Linked DNA regions of Callithrix jacchus. The protein of the gene in region 1 purifies or fractionates together with the protein of each later gene. This does not show direct contact. Links are inferred from orthologs where the notes say so. Each region holds a gene or a part of one and is shown in the gene's direction. Other genes may lie near its edges.

Region 1 (11,935 bases):
TTCACCACTGATGAATCCTGGTAAATCGAAGGATGCCTTAGTGCCCTGCGGTCACACCCCTTAGCAACCAAGTCCAAAGAGAGGAATCCTCAAATCCCTCCATCTTGCTGGGATGTGACCACGCCTCCCGATGCACGCAGATGTCTCAGGCAGCCTCAGCCAGGTCCCCACCATATGCCCTTCCCTGGAAGCAGTGAGTGATACTGACCAAGGCCGAGATCAAATCTATGGGATCTGAACTTGGGAAATAAAATGTGTGGAATGGCAGGAGGAGAAAGAAATGAGTGTCATCCCTACGCTTGGGCTGGGATGCAAGTACCTGAGGGCCCCTTGGGTCTTACTGTCAGAGGATGGTCTTTCCTTAGAGGATTTCTTTTTTTCTTTTTCTTTTTTAGAGACAGGGTTTCACAATGTTGGCCAGGCTGGTCTCAAACTCCTGACCTTGGGTGATCCGCCCGCCCCGGTCACCCAAAGTGCTGGGATTACAGGCGTGAACCACCACATCCGGCCTTTTTTTTTTTTTTTTTTTTTTGAGATGGAGTCTCGCTCTGTTGCCCAGGCTTGAGTGCAACGGTGCGATCTCGGCTCACCACAACCTCTGCCTCCCAGGTTCAAGCGGTTCTCCTGCCTCAGCCTCCTGAGTAGCTGGGATTACAGGCACGCACCCCCATGTCCAGTTAATTTTTGTATTTTTAGTAGAGATGGGGTTTCACCATGTTGGCCAGGCTGGTCTCGAACTCCTGACCTCATGATCCACCCGCCTCGGCCCCCCAAATTGCTGGGATTTACAGGCATGAGCCACCGTGCCTGGCCCTCCTTACAGGATTTCTTTAGAGGGTAGATTGGATGGTGAGAGATAGAACAGCAAGTTCTAGCACTAATCAAGAGCAGCCACTACTTCTGAGAACTCGAGGGGCCTCATGGCTGGGGAGTGGCTTTATCTTAGCAACCAGGGTCAAAGGAGGTTGTTACTCTGGTTTAGAATTAGGAAAATACAAGGGGTGGGGACAGAGCTGGGAGTGCCGCTGAATTCCTAGCTGTGGCTGGTAGGCAATTCGGGACCTTGCTATGTCTGGCAGACCCCGTTGCTAAGGATCCTTGTCCTTAACCAGAGTCCTTGGGGAAAGAGAGGGATGGGCGACCCGGAGCCCCACTTTCCTCCCCATCCACGCCAGGAAGCTCGAACCTTGGGGCTCAGGCTGCTGAGTGAGGAGATGGTGGAAGCGCTGCTGGCCAGGCTCAGGCTGCTGCGAGGTCGGCTCCCCTCCATCGAGGGCTGAAAGAGAGAAAGAAAGGGGCTGTGTCTCTGCAGTGACGGGTGCAGGACAGAGATGGGGTCAGGGGCTTGGAGGTCGGAGGAGGCTGAGGAGAAAGAGACTGTTGTTTTGGGACTTGGGGGCTGGGGGAGGCCATGGCCCGTGACCACATACCAAGAGTGGTGCCAAGAGAGGTAGGCGGCCCTGGCAGCTGTGGGAGGGGGCAGCTGTCTGCAGCCCGGGCCGGAGAATAGGGGCTCCTTTATTCCTGCCCACTGGACTTGGGACAGGAATTTGACCCTCTCTGTGCTTAAGGACTCCCCATTCCCTGCCTCCTTCCTGCTGCTCCCGGCTACCTGTCTCCCGCCCTCCCACACGCACCCCCAAACCATCCCTGCCAACTCCCCAAGCCAAGTCGTGCGGCACCAGGAATGTGCACCCAGAGAGCCCCTCCCAGCACAGCCAGGGAACTTACCCAGCTCTGTGGTCCGGATGACAGGGCAAGGGGCACCCAGGCAGTCTCCCGCCTCTGTCTCTCAGCGGCCGTCTCTCATCGCACTAGATCTCTCTCTTCACCTGCTCACTCGCACTTTTTGTCTGTCTCCTGTCTCTTATGGCCTCTCTGTTTCTCTCTCTCTCTTCCTCTCTCTTCCTTTACACACTCTCTCTCTCCCCCTGTCCCACCTTCTGTGTCTCTCGCTGATCTCTATCTCTTCCAGTCTCTCTCTCACTCATTCTCTCTCTCTCTCTCTCTCTCTCTCTCTCTCCAATCTGTTTCTGTCCAAACCTTTTATTGCCAGACTCACAGGGTCTCTTCCTTAAGTCTCTCCTTCATTCGCCGTCTCTCTTTCTCTCTGTCTCTGTTACCCTGTTTCCTCCCTCACACCCAGTCTCTTCCTCTTTCTCTCTCTCTCCGGCTCTCCACGTCTGCCATTTCCTCCCCTTTCTCTTTCCGATTTCCCTTCTCACTTTCTCCCTTCCTCTCTCTCCCAGTTTCTCTTTCCTCTCTGCTGGTCTTTCCCTGCCTCTGCCAGCCGCCCACGCTGCCGTTCTCCCCTCCCAATCCCGGCTGTCCCCGCCCCTTCTGGCCTCCCCACTACAGCCTGACCCCTGGCTCAGCTGCCCCCACAGCTGAGGGGAGGCGCTATGGGCCCCCCAATTCCTGGGTTCCCTAAGGACCAAGGCTGGGACTTCTCAGTGTTGGGAGAGTGGCACCTGAGGCCTGCACTCCTTGGCCCCTGTGGGTTTGCTGTGGTTGGGGGCCTGGGCCGCTGGTGTCCTAAAGGGAGGGCGCTTGTGTCTTGCAAGGGGTGGGGACTCAGACTTCCAAAGCCCTGGAGCGTCTGGGTTAGGGATCCAGTCTCCTGGGTGCCTGAGAAGGTCCGAGGAGGAGTCAGAACTCCTGAGTTGTGAATGAGCTGGGGGTCTGGAAGCGTGGCTGTGATTGGATGGGACCAGGGATGGTTTTTCCAGGTCCTCTAGGGAGAAAACGGGGTGGTCCCAGTAGGGCAGGGTGAAAAGGAGAGTTCCAAATCTGCACCTCAAATCCAGGTGACAGTTCTCTTCTAGACTGAGGACAACTCCCTCAGGAGGGAGACGTGGTTCCTTAGTATATTTTGAGGAACAAGATTATGCACCTAGGCTGGGTGCCGAGGCTCACACCTGTAATCCCAGCACTTTGGGAGGCCGAAGCGGGTGGATCGCCTGAGGTCAGGAGTTCAAGACCAGCCTGGCCAACATGGCGAAACCCCGTCTCTACTAAAAATACAAAGCCAGGTGTGGTGGTAGGTGCCTGTAATCCCAGCTACTCGAGAGTCTGAGGCAGGAGAATCGCTTGAACCCAGGAGGCAGAGGCTGCAGTGAGCCGAGATCACACCACTACACTCCTGCCTGGGTGACAGAGCGAGACTCTGTCTCAAAAGAAAAAAAAAAACAAGATTAGGCCTGGTGCGGTGGCTCAAGCCTGTAATCACAGCACTTTGGGAGGCCGAGGTGGGTGGATCACGAGGTCAAGAGATCGAGATCATCCTGGTCAACATGGTGAAACCCCGTCTCTACTAAAAATACAAAAAATTATCTGGGCATGGTGGTGCGCACCTATAGTCCCAGCTACTAGGGAGGCTGAGGCAGGAGAATTGCTTGAACCCAGGAGGCCGAGGCTGCAGTGAGCCGAGATTGCGCCATTGCACTCCAGCCTGGGTAACAACAGCGAAAACTCCGACTCAAAAAAAAAAAAACAAAAACAAGATTATGCATCCGTAGGGGAGCAGAGCTGGGAGGAGAGCCTGGAATTTGTAGCAGAAGCCCCCAAATCACACGGAGAGTGCTGCCCAGGCAGAACTGTGGTTTGTGGAGGGAGAACTACTGCCCAAGTCTGAAGCAGATGAAACCCGGGAGTGGAGCCTTGTGCCAGTGACCAGGAAGGAATTAGAGCTGTTGCTTTAGCCGCCATTCCCCATACATCTGTTGAGTACCTACTGTGTGCAGGCATTGTTGCAGCCATTGGGAAGAAAGCACTGAGCCCTGGTCAGGTGCAGTGGCTCATGCCTGTAATCCCAGTAGTTTGGGAGGCCAAGGCAGGAGGATCACTTGAGACCAGGAGTTCAAGACCAGCCTGGGCATCATAGGAAGACCCTGTCTCTATTGAAAAAATTAATTAACTAAAAAAAAAAGAAAAGCAGTGTGACCTGCAAAGTGCCTGATCTCATAGTGCTTACATCTTTGTTCCCATTTGCAAGGAATCTGGACCCTGCTGTGGACCGTCTTGGTCAACTGGCTTCATTTCCAAGCCTGTTTCCCCATCTGTGAAATGGGAACAATGACACCCTCACACTCGGAGAGGAAACTGACCGGATGTGAAAATAGGAGACTCTAGGTGGGGCCTGCTGGCCAAATTGGGGTGGGAGACTGGGCCCAGTGGCTCACACCTGTAATCCCAGCACCTTGGGAAACCAAGGGGGGCAGATCACCTGAGGTCAGGAGTTTAAGACCAGCCTGGTCAACATGGTGAAACGCTGTCTCTACTAAAAATTAAAAAAGTAGCCGGGCATTGTGACCCATGCCTGTAATCCCAGCTACTCGAGAGGCTGAGGCAGGAGAATCACTGGAAACCCGGAGGTTGAGGTTGTAGTGAGCTGAGATGGCGATAATGAACTCCAACTCCAGCCTGGGTGAGAGAGCAACACTCCCTCTCAAAAAATAAATAAATAGGCCAGGCATGATGGCTCATGTCTGTAATCCTAGTACTTTGGGAAGCCAAGGCAGGTGGATCACCTGAGGTCGAGAGTTCAAGACCAGCCTGGGCAACATGGGTGAAACCCGTCTCTATTAAAAATACCAAAAACTGGGTGGATGAGGTGGCTCACACCAGCAATCCCAGTACTTTGGGAGGCCGAGGCAGGCAGATCACCTGAGGTTGGGAGTTCAAGACCAGCCTTACCAGCATGGAGAAACCTCGTCTCTACTAAAAATACAAAATTAGCCAGGCGTTGTAGTGCATGCCTGTAATCCCAGCCACTCTGGAGGCTGAGGCAGGAGACTCGCTTGAACCTGGGAGAATTGCAGAGGTTTCAGTGAGCCGAGATTTCGCCATTGCACTCCAGCCTGGGCAACAAGAGCGAAACTCCATCTCAAAAAAAAAAAAAAAAGCCCGGGCGCGGTGGCTCAAGCCTGTAATCCCAGCATTTTGGGAGGCTGAGGCGGGTGGATCACAAGGTCAAGAGATCGAGACCATCCTGGTCAACAAGGTGAAACCCCGTCTCTACTAAAAATACAAAAATTAGGTGGGCATGGTGGTGCGCGCCTGTAGTCCCAGCTCAGCTACTCGGGAGGTTGAGGCAGGAGAATTGCTTGAACCCAGGAGGCAGAGGTTGCGGTGAGCCGAGATCGCGCCATTGCACTCCAGCCTGGGAAACAAGAGCGAAACTCTTGTCAAAAAAAAAAAAAAAAATTAGCTGGGCGTCGTGGTACATGCCTGTAACCCCAGCTTCTTGGGATGCTGAGGCCGGAGAACGGCTTGAACCTGGGAGGCGGAAGTTGCAGTGAGCCGAGATCGCGACATTGCACTGCAGCCTGGGTGACAGAGACTTCGCCTCAAAAAATAATAATAGTAAATAAATAATTAGGCCTGGAGTGGTGACTCACGCCTGTAATCCTAGCACTTTGGGAGGTCGAGGCGGGGGGGGGGAGGGGGCGCGGATCTCCTGAGATCAGGAGTTCAAGACCAGCTTGGCCAACATGTTGAAAAAAATCCCGTCTCAAAAAAATAATTAATAAATAGATAAATAAATTGAGGTGGGAAGGCATCTGCCCTGAGCTAAGAGAACTGGCCCGCTGCTGAAGCAGGACCATGCATTTGATTGACAGTTCGCTTATTTGGGAGGCGTGGTCACGATCGGAAACTCCGCCGTGACGTCACAAAGTTGGAATCTCCGCGAGAAGTCCTGTCTTACTTTCACTTCCCACCCTTCGGGGTGTGCTCTCGAAACCCCGCCTCTCCCCGTGACGTCACACGTCGGGGCGCGGTAGACTATAAAATCTTCGCGGACGCTTTTCGCGTTCATTGTGTTGGTTCCTACCCTAGTTGTAGTTCACGTGCGAGAAGTCGCACGACCCTGCGCCCGCTTGTCGCCCCCGCGCTTGAGGCAGCCATAGATATTCTGTGTTCCTGGACCCCAACCTCTGAGGGTGAGATGAACGCGCTGGCCTTCCTAGCCGTCCGGACCTGGGATCGCTTCTGGCAGCCCGAGCCGGCCCTCCTACCCCCGGGGTGACGCGCAGTCCCCAGCCGGTGAGTAAGGGGTCGAAACGCCTGGGTCTCCACGGGGCTGGGGGCACGGATTTAAGGAGGAGAAGGGGTTGGGAGCCTGGAGTCCTGAGTCTGAGGGAGGAGGGATCTGGAAGCCAGATTCTTGGGTTCCTCTTGAAGGAATCGTCTGGCAAGTGGGTGGGTCGGGTCAGAATATTTGAGTCTCCAAGAGAGGGAGGGTGCGGGGGTTTGACTTGTCAATCTTCAGCAGGATGAGTGAGCTAGGGTCTATGACCTTGTCCGCAAGGGAAGCAAGTAAAAGACTTGTTCTTGGGACTGGGATTTCTGCATCTGAGCAAAGAGGAGGCTGGGGGCTTGGACCCTTGGATCTAAGGAAGAACTAGGGGCTCAGATTCCTGGCTCTTGAGTGATGAGAGAGAATGGAGCCAAGGGACAGAGAGGGGAGTGGCTGAGATCAGAAAGGAATTTGGGGCAGAGGCTCACGGTGCTGTTTATGATAGTTGTGTTACTATTTTTGTTGCTGTGACTCATAGTCATGCCCGAATGCCATCTCCTTAATGGCCCCTAAACTTTATTTTTTTCCTCCCCCTTTTCCAGCCCAGACACATGGCCCCAGGCCAAGCACCCCATCAGGCTGCCGGCTGGAGGGATGCCCATCCTTTCTTCCTCCTGTCCCCACTGATGGGCTTCCTCAGCTGGGCCTGGAGCCGCCTGAGGGGCCCGGGACCTCCAGAGCCCTGGCTGGTAGAAGCAGTCAAGGGAGCAGAAGCTGGCCTGGAGGGAGAAGCTGAGACTCCTCTGACAACCCCCGCTACCCTTTGGGACAGATACTCTGAAGAGGAGGCTGAAGACAGTGGAGGCCCTGAAGGGGACAGAGAAGCGATGGGCCTGAAAACCAGCACTTCCCTTCCTGAAGCCTGGGGACTTTCAGATGATGACGATGACAAGTATAGTGAGCGAGAAGCAACCAGTGTCCCTAGAGGGCAGGGAAGTCAATTAGCAGATGGCCAGCGTGCTCCCCTGTCTCCCAGCCTCCTGATAAGGACCCTGCAAGGTTCCGATAAGAACCCAGGGGAGGAGAAAGCCGAGGAAGAGGGAGTTGCTGAAGATGAGGGAGTCAACAGTTTCTCTTATCCTCCGTCACACCGGGAGTGTTCAGCAGTAGAGGAGGAGGACGAAGAAGCTTGCAGAGCCTCTACTGCCCTGTCTCCAGGATCCAAGCCCAGCGCTTGGGTGTCTTGCCCAGGGGAAGAAGAGAATCAAGCCACGGAGGACGACGGAAGAACAGAAAAAAGTCAAGGAGCCAGGAAGACCCCCGTGTCACCCCCATCTTCAGGCTCTAACCCCACGGCCTGGGAGTATCATTCAGGAGAGACATCCGAGGAGAAGGAAAAGGCACACGAAGGAGCTGGGAAAGGAAAAGCTGCCCCAGGGCCACACTCCTCAGCCCCAGCTCAGAGGCCCCAGCTCAGGGCTTGGCCGTGCCAACCCACTGATGAAGAGGAAGGTGAGGTTAAGGCTTTGGGGGCAGCTGAGAAGGATGGAGGAGCTGATCCTCCCTGCATCCCTGCCACAAGTGCCTTCCCGAAGGCCTGGGTATATCAGCCAGGAGAGGACACAGAGGAAGAGGAAGAGAAGGCGGAAGATGAGGACAGTGATACGGGATCAGCTGAGGACAGGGGAGAAGCTGAGACTTCCGCTTCCACATCCCCTTCAAGTGCTTTCTTGAAGGTCTGGGTGTATGGGCCAGGAGAGGACACAGAGGAAGAGGAAGGTGAGGAAGAAGATAAGGACAGTGACTCTGGATCAGATGAAGAGGGAGGAGCTGAGGGTTCCTCTTCCACTCCTGCTACAGGTACCTTCTTGAAGTCCTGGGTGTTTCAGCCAGAAGAGGACACAGAGGAGGAAGATGAGGACAGTGATACGGGATCAGCTGAGGACGAGGGAGAAGCTGAGAATTCCGCTTCCACACCCCCTGCAAGTGCCTTCCTGAAGTCCTGGGTGTATCAGCCAGGAGAGGACACAGAAGAGGAAGATGAGGATGAGGGAGAAGCTGAGAATTCCGCTTCCACACCCCCTGCAAGTGCCTTCCTGAAGTCCTGGGTGTATCAGCCAGGAGAGGACACAGAAGAGGAAGATGAGGATGAGGGAGAAGCTGAGACTTCCGCTTCCACACCCCCTGCAAGTGCCTTCCTGAAGTCCTGGGTGTATCGGCCAGGAGAGAACACAGAGGAGGAAGATGAGGATGAGGACAGTGAGGATAAGGAAGATGATTCAGAAGCAGCTGTGGGAGAAACTGAGTCAAACCCACATCCATCCCACCCAGCCCAGAGTGCCCGCTTCAGAGACTGGGTATATCAACCTGGGAAGGAGACAGAGGAAGAGGAAGCTACTGAGTACTGGGGAGAAGCTGAGCCCTGCCCCTTCCGAGTGGCCATCTATGTACCCGGAGAGAAGTCACCGCCTCCCTGGGCTCTTCCTGGGCTACCCCACCGACTGCAGAGGCGGCTCAAGCACCCAGAATCACCGACCCGAGATCCGGACCCTGAGACTCCCTTAAAGGCCAGAAAGGTGGGTGCTGAGAGCCCAGATTCTTGAGTCTTAGAGAGAAGCGGGGCTGGAGGCTGACTCCTGGGTCCCTGTAGTTGCAGAGGGTTGCATGTAACCTCCATAGGGAGGGCTGTGTATGCTGTCATGCAATCCCTTGTAAGAGGGCAGGCCCCTGGGGGAGGAAGAAGCAGCTGTGGCTCATGGCAGCCCCAGGAAACCACCTCTGCCTTCAGTGAGTCAGACGGAGACTCCTGTGACAGTGACAGGGATGTGACTAGCCAGATAGAGAGCATTTTTGTGTAATTAATTTTTGTTTGCTTCTCTCTCTTCCCCGCCCTCACCATCCGGATTCCCATGGCTGTGTGCATTTCCTCTCTGTGTCCCCATGTCTGCCCCCAGGTACGCTTCTCTGAGAAGGTCACCGTCCATCTGCTGGCTGTCTGGGCAGGGCCTGCCCACGCCGCCCGCCGGGGCCCCTGGGAACAGCTTGCCCGGGATCGCAGCCGCTTTGCACGCCGCATTGCCCAGGCCCAGGAGTTGCTGAGCCCCTGCCTCACCCCTGCTGCCCGGGCCAGAGCCTGGGCACGCCTCAGGAACCCACCTTTAGCCCCCATCCCTGCCCTCACCGAGACCTTGCCTTCCTCCTCGGTCCCTTCATCCCCAGTTCAGGCCACGCCCTTGAGCCAAGCTGTGGCCACACCCTCCCCCTCCTGTCTAGCTCCCCTGGACCTCAGTGGGAGGCGTGGCTAAGACCAACTGGTTTGCCTATAATTTAACTATTTATTTTTTCTAAGTGTGGGTTTATATAAGGAATAAAGCCTTTTGATTTGTAGCAAGCAGTATCTGTGTGTGTGTCAGAAACTGATAGCATCCTACTTACAGGTCCCCAAGGTAGCTGGGGAGAAGAGCATAAAACAAAGCACCTCAGGCCAGGTGGGGTGGCTCACACCTGTAATCCCAGTACTTTGGGAGGCTGAGGCAGGTGGATTGCCTGAGGTCGGGAGTTCGAGACCAGCCTGGTCAACATGGAGAAACCCCATCACTACTGATCTTAGGTTTACTGTGGGAAGTAGAAAAGTTCCTCTTTAAATAAAGTTCTCTTTAAAAAAGTAAGTGTGCTAGCCGGGCATGGTAGCTCACGCCTGTAATCCTAGCACTTTGGGAGGTCGAGGTGGGTGGATAACCTGAGGTCAGGAGTTCAAAACCAGTCTGGCCATGATGGTGAAACCCCAACTTTAAAAAAATAAAAGGAAAAGAATAAGTGTGCTAATAACTTTGTTAAGCCCTATCCTATGTAGCTGTCAGACATGCCACGCTTACAGGCACGTAGTACATTCTATGTCCTTGTACTTTAACCAGGATATCTGTGCTGGACGTGCTCACAGGCATGTCCCAGCTCTCCATTGCTTTTCCCTTTTGAAAAAGTTTTAAGGTGTTAGCCTTAAAATCGGGTTTTAGTTTAAATTGTGAAGTCTGGCTCCAACCAATGGAGATCAGACACAGCAGTAAGGACGACCCCAGACTCGTAAGGGGTCAATTTGCTTTCCATTTGCTCATTATACTCTTGTGGCAAGATGGCTAGTGAGGGTCCCCTTCCTGCAGTTCAGGAGGTAAAATTTGTGTTGCTGAAAGATCCTTTGTCTCTGATAACTTTTCTTTGCAGCACCGAGCATCTGTTTCTAACATTAGTGATGTTATCTGCAGAAGTAATTGGGGAAATTGCATATCTTGTGACCTCTAGAATAATGACTAGTCATCTACCTCCAATTTTTTTTTTTACTGTTTTTTATTTGTCATCCGGGCTGGTATTCAGTGGCTTGATCTCGGCTCGCTGCAACCTCCACCCCCTGGGGTTCAAGTGAATCTCCTGCCTCAGCCTCCTGAGTAGCAGGGACTGCAGGGGCGCACCACCATACCCAGCTAATTTTCTTGGTATTTTTAGTAGCGACGGGGTTTCACTATGTTGACCAGGCTGGTCTCAAACTCTTGACCTCGTGATCCACCCACCTCAGCCTCCGAAAGTGCTGGGATTACAGGCATGGGCCTGCACTACTGCACCCAGCCTCTACCTCTCATTTTTACTTTTTTGTTGTTATTGAGGCCAAGTCTTGCTGTGTCGCCAGGCTGGAGTGCAGTGGTGCGATATTGGCTCACTGCAACCCGGAATTCAAGCAATTCTCCTGCCTCAGCCTCCCTAGTACCCAAGATTACAGGCATGCCATGCCCTACCACGCATGGCTAATTTTTGTATTAATCTACCTCTAGACCTTGCAGAATTCAGGCTCCTCTCATCCTCCTAACCTGATGGTCTTTCATTAGCTTTACAAAAGCAGCTTAGTTTTGGGAAGGGTTATTCTCATTTAAACTAGAAACTAGAGGCCTGGGCATGGTGGCCCGTGCCTGTAATCCCAGCACTTTGGGAGGCAAAGGTGGACGGATCACTTGAGGTCAGGAGTTTGAGACGAGCCTGGCCAAAATGGTGAAATCCCAACTCTACTAAAAGTTTTTAAAAAATAGATTGGTCTGGTGGTTCATGCCTGTAATTCCAGCTATCCAGGAGGCTGAAGCAGGAGAATTCCTTGAGCCAGCGAGATGGACCAAGACTCCATCTCAAAAAAAAGAACACCTATAAATTTTTTTTTTTGAGACAGAGTCTCGCTCTGTCACCTAGGTTGTAAGTGCAGTGAAGTGATCTCAGCCCACTGCAAACTCCGCCTCCCCGGTTCAAGCAATTCTCCTGCCTCAGCCTCCCGAGTAGCTGGGACTACAGGCATGCACCACCATGCCTGACACCATTATTATTATTATTAATTTTTCGTATTTTTAGTACAGATGAAGTTTCACCATATTGGCCAGGGTGGTCTCGAACTCCTGACCTTGTCATCCGCCCGCCTGAGCCTCTCAAAGTGCTGGGATTACAGGCGTGGGCCACCTTGCTGGGCCAACACCTATAAATGAAATGTCTCCCACAGTTAGCTTGGTCTTAGCCCAGGAGTGATGAAGGGCAGTTTGGAGATTACAGGCAGCATGGGGTTGGTTCGAGCAGGTCTCCTTCACTGTCATAATGTTCTCACTGTTACGATTTTTTTTTTTTTTTTTTGAGGTGGAGTTTCGCTCTTGTTACCCAGGCTGGAGTGCAATGGTGCGATCTTGGCTCACCGCAACCTCCGCCTCCTGGGTTCAGGCAATTCTCCTCCTCAGCCTCCCAAGTAGCTGGGACTATAGGCATGCACCACCATGCCCAGCTAATTTTTTGCATTTTTAGTAGAGACGGGATTTCACCATGTTGACCAGGATGGTCTCGATCTCTTGACCTTGTGATTCACCCGCCTCGGCCTCCCAAAGTGCTGGGATTACAGGC
Region 2 (10,124 bases), on another chromosome or scaffold:
GTGATAACCAGTATTCTGAAATTATTTTTATGTCAATATCATTTGTTTTTATTGTTTTACTACACATGTGTCTATAATCATTTTTTATTTAAAATGTAACCTATTGTATCTTTTTGTTGCTTGCATTTTTACATATAAGGCTGTTATTAAGCAGGATTCTTCCACATTGATAGATGTACACCTGATCCATATTAATCTCTATAGTATTTCATTGTGAGAATATGCTTTATCTGTTCCTCTATTAAGAGTTGTTTAGGTAATTTTTCCCTTTTGTCCCATTTGTCAAACAGTGCTATGATGAATACTGTATATGTCTCTATATGTACTTGTTTGAGAGTTTCTAATGTATATACCTAGGAGTGAAGTTGTTAGGTCATAGGATTGACATAGGATTGATTATATATCTTTAAACTCACTTGGTTTCACCAAATTATTCTTCAAATTGATTCTACAGTTTATATTCCCTCTAGCAATTGTATAAGTATTCCTGTTTCCCCTCATCCTTGCCACAATTTGGAATACATATGATTTTTTTTTCTTCTTTTTCTAGTCTAACGAATGCCCAATAGTATCTTTTGATTTGCATATTCCTGATTATTGGAAGGGTCAACAGTTTTTCATGTTTATTGACCATTTGTATTTCTTCTGTGAAACATCTGTTCACCTCATTTGCCCATTTTCTGTTTGTTTGTCATCTTGTTTCTTGGGCATTTGTGTTGGTTTGTCTTCTTGTTCCTTTATATTAGCTGAGTAAAAGTTCCCTCCACCCAAATTCTCTTGCCTTTTGTTCCTTAACTAGACCCCTTGCTTATTAAGCCTGATGCTTGCTCATACTATTCCTATTCCTTTTTCATATGGCATAACTTTCTTTTTTTCTTTGTAATAGAGACAAAGGTCTTGTTCTGTTGCCCAGGCTGGTCTACAGACCCCTGGTCTCAAGCAATCCTCCTGCCTCAGCCTCCTGAAGTGCTGGGATTACAGGCATGAGCCACTGGTGGCCAGCCCTTTGTATCTTAACTTACTTAAAATAGTTCTGCCTTTGCTTTTTACAATGCTACTCCTCTTTTAGTCTTTATTTCATATTTTTGTTTGTTCACTCATTCAACAGGCATGCCAGTTAATAAGACCCTGGTCCATGTCCTGTGGCACTTAGATGAAATACTACTTTTTGCATGAAGCCCTTCCTGACCTCATTAGAAAGTAATACCTTTCTCTCCTGAGGCCCACAGTATATATACTGTTAACATTTACAAATTTTTCCCTGTTTTTGTTCTTTTCAAGCTAGATTATAAACTCCTTGAGGCAGAGACACCTAATTGCATGGAAGTAATCAATTATATTAGAATATCAGATGTGTTAGGAGATACTAAATTGCTTGTTTTAGTTGGATCACTAAAATTTTGATTTCACTAATAATTAGTTGGGTGTAAGTGCACAGCTAAGATTTGAACTCTAATTGTGACATTAAAGCCTGTGCTTTCTTTACTATTATATGCATTATTCCAGGGTGCTTACTTTCACATTTATCAGTAATATAATCTTGACTTTTTGTTATTTATTTTTTTTTTACCAGAGACCCGTCTATTTTGGATAGTTTAGATTTGAATGAAGATGAACGGGAAGTACTCATTAATAATATTAATAGACGCTTGACCCCACAGGCTGTCAAAATTCGAGCGGGTAAATGATTTTTTAAATGTTTTTACAGTATTTTATATGCATCAAAAAAGCTATTAAATAATAAGACTTACCAAAGAATATGTTGCTACATCAACGTCTATAAATTTTTCTAAATGTTTATTTTTTATAACAAAAGCTTAAGAAATTATTTTGGCTTCTGAATCATAAGATTTCTGTATTAACACAAGTAGAAACAGTTGTGTGAGTTCAACTAACCTAAAGTTAGCCCTTTTTTAAAAAAAAGGGGGTTTGATTGTTTGGTGTTAGTGCATAATTTAAAATATTCCAAATTTTTACAAATACTATACAAGATTTTCTCCATCTAGCCTTTTCTACCCAGTGTATTATAGGTACCGTTCCATGCAGAACATAGGAATCTTTTCATCCTTTTTCATTCTGAGTAATGTTTCATAGAACAGATAAACCTTAACATAAACCAGTCCCCTCTTGATGAACATCTAGATTGTGCCAGTTCTCACAGATACAAAAAAAAGCTACAAATTAACACCCTTATATTATACATATTTACCCATTTACACAAATGTTCTTCAAGACAAATTCCTAAAAGCAGAATTTCTGAGTCAAAGGATAATGCAGTTTCTAAACTGTTTTAGATAAGTTGTAGTTATTGTTATATTCCATCTTTACCACACTCCTCCTTACCTCCAGTTTATAAATAAGGAACTGCAGTGTAGAGGTTGGATTCAGGTTAAGTCTCTGAATACTAGTATATCTGCCATGTTTGATTTTCTTTAAACTTTTAAATATTTTTTGCATTTTTTGGTGTCAACTTCTGAATTTTGTAATTACAGATATTGAAGTGGCTTGTTATGGTTATGAAGGCATTGATGCTGTAAAAGAAGCCCTAAGAGCAGGTTTGAATTGTTCTACAGAAACCATGCCCATTAAGGTGAGTTGTCAGTTGTCTCCTTCCCTGCTGATTTACCCATCTAAGCCAAATAAGATCTTTGATCTTTGTTTTGATTTTTTTTTAAAATCATACTTTGCAACAAAAGTGGCTTTTTTACTCTTAAAGTTAATCAGTGAGTCTTAGTAATATTTCTAGATGTTTGTGATTTTCTTTAGGCCTTTTTGGTTTCTACTGTTACTATCACAGTGAATGGAGATTCCTATTGTTAGAAAGCCATCTGCGCTAAACCTCATTTACGATAAAGAGTTGCTGTGCCTAAAATACTGATAGCACTTTAAAAAGAGTAACACTTTCTCCCATCTATACCTATGCAAATTTTATGAGGTTTGATCAGAATCTTTCATTAGTGATAAAATTAACTGAACGGCAATAACTCAGAATCTTGTAGAAAGATTCTTCAATCAGTTTAGTTTAGAGACAAATTATCCATTATACTCATGATAATTGCAGTTAATTTAGCTACCAAAGATACCCAGAAATTATAATTGTTCTTATTCAGTGTTACAGTGGACTGTTTATACTACTGCATTAGATTCCTGTATCGATTCACTTTTCTACATTAACAAATCACCCCAAAACATAATCGCCAATTCTGTAGGACCCTAAATTACTGTCCTATAGAATTGGCACATTTTGGGGTGATTTGTTAATATAGCAGAGTAATAAAATCTCAAGCATCCTAATAGTTGTGGGTTCTGTAGGTACATTCATAATTGAATTTTTGGTTTTCTCTTTTAGATTAATCTAATAGCTCCTCCTCGGTATGTAATGACTACGACAACCCTGGAGAGAACAGAAGGCCTTTCTGTCCTCAGTCAGGCAATGGCTGTTATCAAAGAAAAGATTGAGGAAAAGAGGGGTGTGTTCAATGTTCAAATGGAGGTGAGATCAATAGATTCGTTTTTAATAATGTCTCAGGAGGTTTCTAAAAGGGGTTTTTATAGATAAATAAGAGCTGTCGGCCTTGGAATATCATATTGTAGGATGGTTATTCAAGCCTTTGACCATTAATGGTGTTACGGGTCACCCTCACCACATCACCTACCCCCTGGCCAGGGGGAAGAGAATAAACAATATAAATGAGAAGTTTTTTTATTGTTAGAATTTGGATGTGGCATGTCTAAAATTTGATCTTAGAATTAGAAAAAAAAGTCTCCTGTCTTTTCCTTTTCTCAACAAGAAAAAAAATGTGTGTGTGTGTGTGTGTGTGTGAGAGAGAGAGAGAGAGAGAGAGAGAAAGAGAGAGAGAAAGAGAGAGAGAAAGAGAGAGAGAGAGGGGGGTTCCTTCAGTGGAAAGGACTAATAAGCTAGTAAGTGGTAGTTTGAGCCTGGAAGAGTCCATCTTTTTGTGGACTTGAAAGATACAGCCACTGGGCTTATTTCATGTTTTCAGTTTTAGCTTATAAAGATGACAAAAACAAATTTCCATTTTAATACATACATCTTTTTCTATACTGTTGTTCTCATAAATTTCACCTGTTTATCTAATGGAATTTGTTAGTGACAAGTCAGCACTCAAAAGTGAACAGATATGAGAGAGTTGTTAGAAAAGTGTTAAAAGAAAAAAAACGTGAGGTAGTAATAGTATTGAAATTAAATTTGTATAGTGTTTACTACTTCAGTTTTAAATTATACCTCTGCTTCCACAGCCCAAAGTGGTCACAGATACAGATGAGACTGAACTCGCAAGGCAGATGGAGAGGCTTGAAAGAGAAAATGCAGAAGTGGATGGAGATGATGATGCAGAAGAAATGGAAGCCAAAGCTGAAGATTAACTTTGTGGGGAACAAAGTCCAATATAAGGAACACAGAGCAGCCCTTCCTGGCTGAAATCTTAGACTTGAAAGTTTTCCAGTATTGAAAACTTCAAAGCTGAATATTTTTTATTTCCAAGTATTTAAATGTTCTAACAGATCAGAACATGAAATGCCCTCCTAAATGTCAGCTGTTTTCACAGTAGCTCTAACACTTTGAGCATTTTTAAGGGAGTGGCCTCATTTCACTAGAGACAAATCTTTAAGAATAGTTCTAAAATTGGGCTTGTGATTTCCATTTCTGATGTCTCCACATTGGCACCCCTTTCTAATTCAATGCCTCATAACATTTACCAGGGGCATCCAAAGCAAACAATCCCAATCTTTCTACATAAAATGTATTCATGCAAACATCAAATAAATTTCTGGGATATTTAACTATAGGCTTCTTCCTTCTTGTCACCAGTTAAAAGCATTCTAAGTACTAAGACCCTAATTCTATTATCTTCATTTTAGCATTGATGTGGAACTATAAGAGCAGGTGAATAAAGGATCTCTATAACAGATCCTTTGAAAAGAAGAGTTTAGGGAAAATAAATTTAACTTTAACCACAGTGAAAGTTGGCCCTTAATTGCAGGGCCAAAGCCTTAAAATGCAATGAAAGAATTAGATTGGTTCTGTGCCTTTTATCTATTTGAGATTGATGACAACTTGCATGAGGGAATTTATCACACCACATCCTTATTGGTATAATAAGCTACTTGCCTTGAGTTTATAATTCAGGGTGGTAAATATGTTTTTAAAATGTAAAAAGCAGCTGCATTTTTTATTTAGTTGGAGTATCATCCAGTTTTTTATTTTTGTTCCTCCTAAAATATCCACTAGGTACCACTTAGAGCTCTTGTTCTTTAAAACAAAACAGGGATCTACTTGAACACTTACGGTGCTTTTTTTTTTTCCCCACATTTACTTCTGTCTTCAAGAACTAATTTGTACATAATAAGTTTTATAGGTAACACATTATTTAGTCAGGTGTAGGAAATCTTGAGTTGCTTCAGTCTACTTGTCTTCATAAATTTATTCTCTTAAGATACTTGAGGTACCGGTTGTATTTGATTTTATTCATTATCCCCAGATAACTATTAAAATACTTAGATTAGACCTAACCCACCATAGTCAGTCCAAGATTAGACTTTACTCAATGTTAAAGGGCCTGGAAAATAGAAGAATGTGTTGGGCAGATAGTTTGTATCATTTATGAAGGTTTGTTCCTTTTGTTAAATATAGCAGTCTGTACTAGCTTTTGAAATCCAAAAGTTTAACTTCCAAAGGCTGTTTCTAAGAGCCCTGATTGCCAGCCAGCATTTTGCATTAAGACTATGTAGAGGAAAACTGATGTACTTAAGATTGACACATAATTTTCACTTATGTCTGTCAAAGCATCAAAAAACCAAGTTTATAAAGGTGGCAACATGAAGAATGCATTCAAAATATAACAGGTGCTCCTTTGTTGTACACAGAGGAATTTTTTTCTTTTGATTTTGTTTACTGAAATTTGTTATACTTCAAAAGCCATAACTTGAAAAATACTGGTGGCTTCCATGGTAAGTGATTTTTATTCTATGTGGGCCTTTTGCTTGGTTCCATGACAATTTTATAAATTGACCCTAGCTAGAGAAAGATCAATATTTCACTGATACCATGAGAAAAAGAACAAAGCATGCATATACCTTGCTAACCTAAAAGACAGCAGGGACAAGATACATATGAGGACGAGTTGTACACCCAGCTCCAAATAAGTTGAAGAATAGGCTTGGCAAAGAAGTGAACAGTTCATCCAAATCTTGAATTTCTGCCAGGTATGGTGGCTCATGCCTGCAATCCTGGCACTTAGGGAGCCAAGGCCGGAGGATCACTTGAGGCCAAGAGGTTTAGACTGCAGTGAGCTGTGATCACTCCAGTGCACTCCCGCATGGGTGAAAAGGCAAGACCCTGTCTCAAAAAAAAACCAACCAAAAATCTTGAATCTCCCATCAAAGTCCATTTAAAATACAATTTCATCTATTTCCCACTCTGCCTTTCATTGAGGTCAAGTGGCTATCAACTCATAGCTGAAAATTAGTGATAGTTTGGGTCTCGTTTATGCATAAGTTAATTGAAAATCGATGGCCAGGAGGAAATTGAACATTGAAACCACTTATCTTCCTTTTTTTTTCCTGGCAAATGGTGTTACGGTGCCTGGGCAGGTCTCAAAATCCTGGGCTCAAGCTATCCTCCCACCTCTGCCTTCATGAGGGTGTGATCCAGCATGCCCCGCCCAAATCATTTTTCATATTAGTTTTATAGCAAAACAAGACAAACCAGTTCTGAAGTGCATAATATTCAAAGACGGACCCATAGAGACATGCTAAGCACTGCATCACGCTAAGCAGAACATTTCTCAGCTGCCATACTCCAGCCATTCTACTTTTACACCAAGAACAAAATGGCTAGAGAGTTTTTTAAAATGTAGGTGCCAGTACCTTGCTGAGACTTGTTCATTGATTTGCCCCAAGGTAATGGTCATCTACTTTCCAAGCCATGGAGATCCTGATAGCTCCCAAAGTGAGGTATACTTGTGCCAATTTTGATGCAGGAAGCCATCAAGCCAAATGTAGTTTAATTCAGATAAACACCTGTCAATATTCAAAAGGCAAAGCAAACTAATTCCAGGGACATTAGACCTTGGTGAAATGCCAAATGGAAAATGGTACTTTAAAAGGTAGTCAGTCTCTTACCATATAAGGAATAAGTAAAACATTAGCTTGAGATTTCTCATTCAGGTCAGTGTTTTAGATACAATTAAGAGTTCAAACTAAGAGGACAAATTTTTACCTAAGCACTTTGAAGTAATCCACTCCCCTTAAATGTAAGTTATGTATTTATCTGTTGATTAAGGGGAGTTCCAAGCATTTGTACTTGGCAAGAATGCTGGCAATAACTTGTGCCAGATACTGTACAAACTTGAAAATAATAAAAATGTTCTTTAAAAGTAAAAGTATTGTATGATACAGACTTTTCACTATAGATTAACCTCCCCACTGGTAAAATTTCTTGGTGCCATTTGTCTCAGCTAATGTTCATTTTAAAACCAAAATTCAATGCCTTGATTTAAGTCTTCCCCATTTACATCTTTCTCTGTCCTTTAGCACACTCTTACTCTCCATCTCTAAATGCCCATTTTTCATGGAAAAACTATGTATTTATTTTTTGTATATGTGATTAAGTTCTCTGACAGAGTCCATGACTTCTGTAATGTATATTTATGCAGACTTGTTTTCCAAAGCAAAACAATATTCTCTGAATGTTCAAAGTTTTGCCACCATCCCCACTTTAAGATGAAGTATGTCTTAGGGACAGAGATGCTTGAAATGTTGCTTGAAAACTATAAAACTTTGCATAGGATTCCAATAACCAGAAACAAAAGTCAGTTTTTACTAATTCCAAAGAAGTTAAGAGAGAACTGCATAAGAAGAGTTTTATTCAGCATTATGGCATGGCCAGGGTAATTGTTCCAACAAAGAGAAACTATTTTAGTGCCCAAGGGAATGGCTGTTTGTGATGCTGGGTAAAACTCAAGATGCTGACACCTAATGGCTGTTCTAGCCTTTCCAGGTTGTAACATGAAGATGGGGAAGGAAATGGCACCACTGCTGTTTATAATCCGAGGAACTCTTCAGCATTCACCCTCCAAAGAAGTACAAAACATACAAAGAAGTCAAGTCTCAACACACTCCCATTCTCCAGGAAATCCTGTCTGTGTCATCTGGTAGGAGGGAAGAATCCTGGTTCCTCGGGTCCTTGTCATGTTAGCTTTTTGATAGCTTCAATCCACTCGACTCGCTCAACCTTGCTGCTGGCCTGAATGTAATAGTGTTTGTCATCCTTAGTAATCACTTTGAAGAGGTTTCCCTGGACATTCCCTTTAACCCCTAGGCAGAATAAAAGAAAAAAAAAATCAGTGATTGAATAGGATGTCTGCTTTCACAATGAACCAGAAGAAAGTCATCTGAGACATGGACAAAACCATACAATGATGTATTTCTTAAATAAAAGGTATACAGTTAGAAAATCCCATCAGACGATATCCCGTTTCCTCCCATTCCCTATCCCTCACCAGTGTCCTAAGGCCTGCCAGTGGTTATGTCTGGATATTCCTGGTAGCCCTTGCCTGCTCCTATGCTCAAAATGGTAGCATGCCATAGATCTACCATGTCATTTACACCAAAGAATCCAGTATGTTTATGTTAACAGCAAGCACAGAATTTGGAATTTGATCTCAAATTGTTTAACTTTTTGGAACCCCAATTCCACAGCCATAAGATGGGAATAATGTCTTCTTACTATGGCTGGCTATTGTGAAATTAGTGTTAAGATAGATATTAAAGTATGTTATTAATCCTAAAGCACTGTGTAAGCCTCAGCTATTATTTTTAGGCAGAAGCTTGTGGTCCATCAGCACAGAAACTGAGGGGAAAGATTATTAACATAAGGATTACTTAACTGTATTCTTAAAAACACTAAGAACATACCCTTTGTTCAATTCTGAAATTCACTTCAAAACTCACACCACTCTGTCTCATTGAGAAAGCCCTGCTTAGCTCCTAAAGCTGTTGTTTCATCAGTAGGGCATTATTGAGGTGCAGGAGGGAGGCCTCTGAGATCTTCAGGCCAGGGCTGAAGTTGCACCTTACCAGTGGGAACACCATTATCCTCCAGAGCAGACACAAGTGAACCACGAAGAGAAAACCCACCCACTGGCCTGTTCTCTTCCTGCAGAGGAAAGGAGACCCAGTTAGGAAATCTGTGAGTGCACAAAAGGAAAGAGTTGTACTTCTGCTACAACTCAGGCCAGCTAAAGAACTCAGCACAAATCATTTATAATAAAAGATGAAGCTGAACTTGGACATCACACGGTCAAAGCTGCATGTATCAGTAAGGAAGCTTGGGCCTCTTCATTTCACAGCCCGTAGCGGTAGTTCCCACCAATGTTGCAGTTACCAGTCTTAGAGACTTGCAAATCTGCTTTTCATTCCTGGAGATATCTCAAACAGAGGCTCTGATCCAACATGCTACCCAGAAAAGTATTCACTGGCTTCTTAACCCATGTGTGCATCTTACAAACTAATCAGAAATATATATTTAGTGAAATTTATTATTTTTTAAATTATTTTGAGACAGAGCCTCACTCTGTCACTTAGGCTGGAGTTCAGTGACACAATTTCAGCTTACTACAACCTCTGCCTCCCAGGTTCAAGCGATTCTCTGGCCTCAGCCTTCCGAAGAACTGAAATTACAAGCACATGCCACTACAGCTGGCTTTGTATTTTTAGTAGAGACGGGATTTCACCACGTTGGCCAGGGTGGTCTCAAACTCCTGACCTCAAGGGATCTGCCCTCCTCAGCCTCCCATTGCTGGGATTACAGGCATGAGCCACCACACCCAGCTATAGTAATCATTTCTGCAAAGTTGATAGATTCCTGCACATTGGATATTGTCAAACAGGTCTAGCATGTGCATAGCATGAAACTGTGATACAAAACAGTGATTTGTGGTATCCCTGGACGATTCAGGGCAATTTTACACAGCATGTGCCTCGGGTCCCAGGAACCCTTCAATTAATTAATAATCAACTTCATATTGCATGTTGGGCCCAGCAAGAGGTAGGGCAAAAAATAAAATAGTTAAATAAAAAACTGGAAATATTTTTACTATTAC

What was found.
Region 2: the proteins of PPP1R15A (region 1) and EIF2S1 purify together in Homo sapiens (affinity purification with western blotting; 4 studies listed by BioGRID and IntAct, with this or other methods). This does not show direct contact. The link is inferred for Callithrix jacchus from reciprocal best matches to the Homo sapiens genes PPP1R15A and EIF2S1.

Annotation. Positions count from the first base shown.
Region 1 is NC_133523.1:42,709,344-42,721,278, forward strand, and holds PPP1R15A (protein phosphatase 1 regulatory subunit 15A), read left to right. Parts: upstream 1-5,815; 5' UTR 5,816-6,045; intron 6,046-6,621; 5' UTR 6,622-6,630; coding exon 6,631-8,595; intron 8,596-8,973; coding exon 8,974-9,324; 3' UTR 9,325-9,406; downstream 9,407-11,935. Other genes in the region: PLEKHA4 (pleckstrin homology domain-containing family A member 4), read right to left, coding at 1,187-1,270. UniProt on the Homo sapiens protein: Recruits the serine/threonine-protein phosphatase PPP1CA to prevents excessive phosphorylation of the translation initiation factor eIF-2A/EIF2S1, thereby reversing the shut-off of protein synthesis initiated by stress-inducible kinases and facilitating recovery of cells from stress.
Region 2 is NC_133509.1:102,369,490-102,379,613, forward strand, and holds the end of EIF2S1 (eukaryotic translation initiation factor 2 subunit 1), read left to right. Parts: intron 1-1,573; coding exon 1,574-1,680; intron 1,681-2,492; coding exon 2,493-2,590; intron 2,591-3,349; coding exon 3,350-3,493; intron 3,494-4,260; coding exon 4,261-4,386; 3' UTR 4,387-4,803; downstream 4,804-10,124. Other genes in the region: PLEK2 (pleckstrin-2), read right to left, coding at 8,210-8,337, 9,100-9,178. UniProt on the Homo sapiens protein: Member of the eIF2 complex that functions in the early steps of protein synthesis by forming a ternary complex with GTP and initiator tRNA. This complex binds to a 40S ribosomal subunit, followed by mRNA binding to form a 43S pre-initiation complex (43S PIC).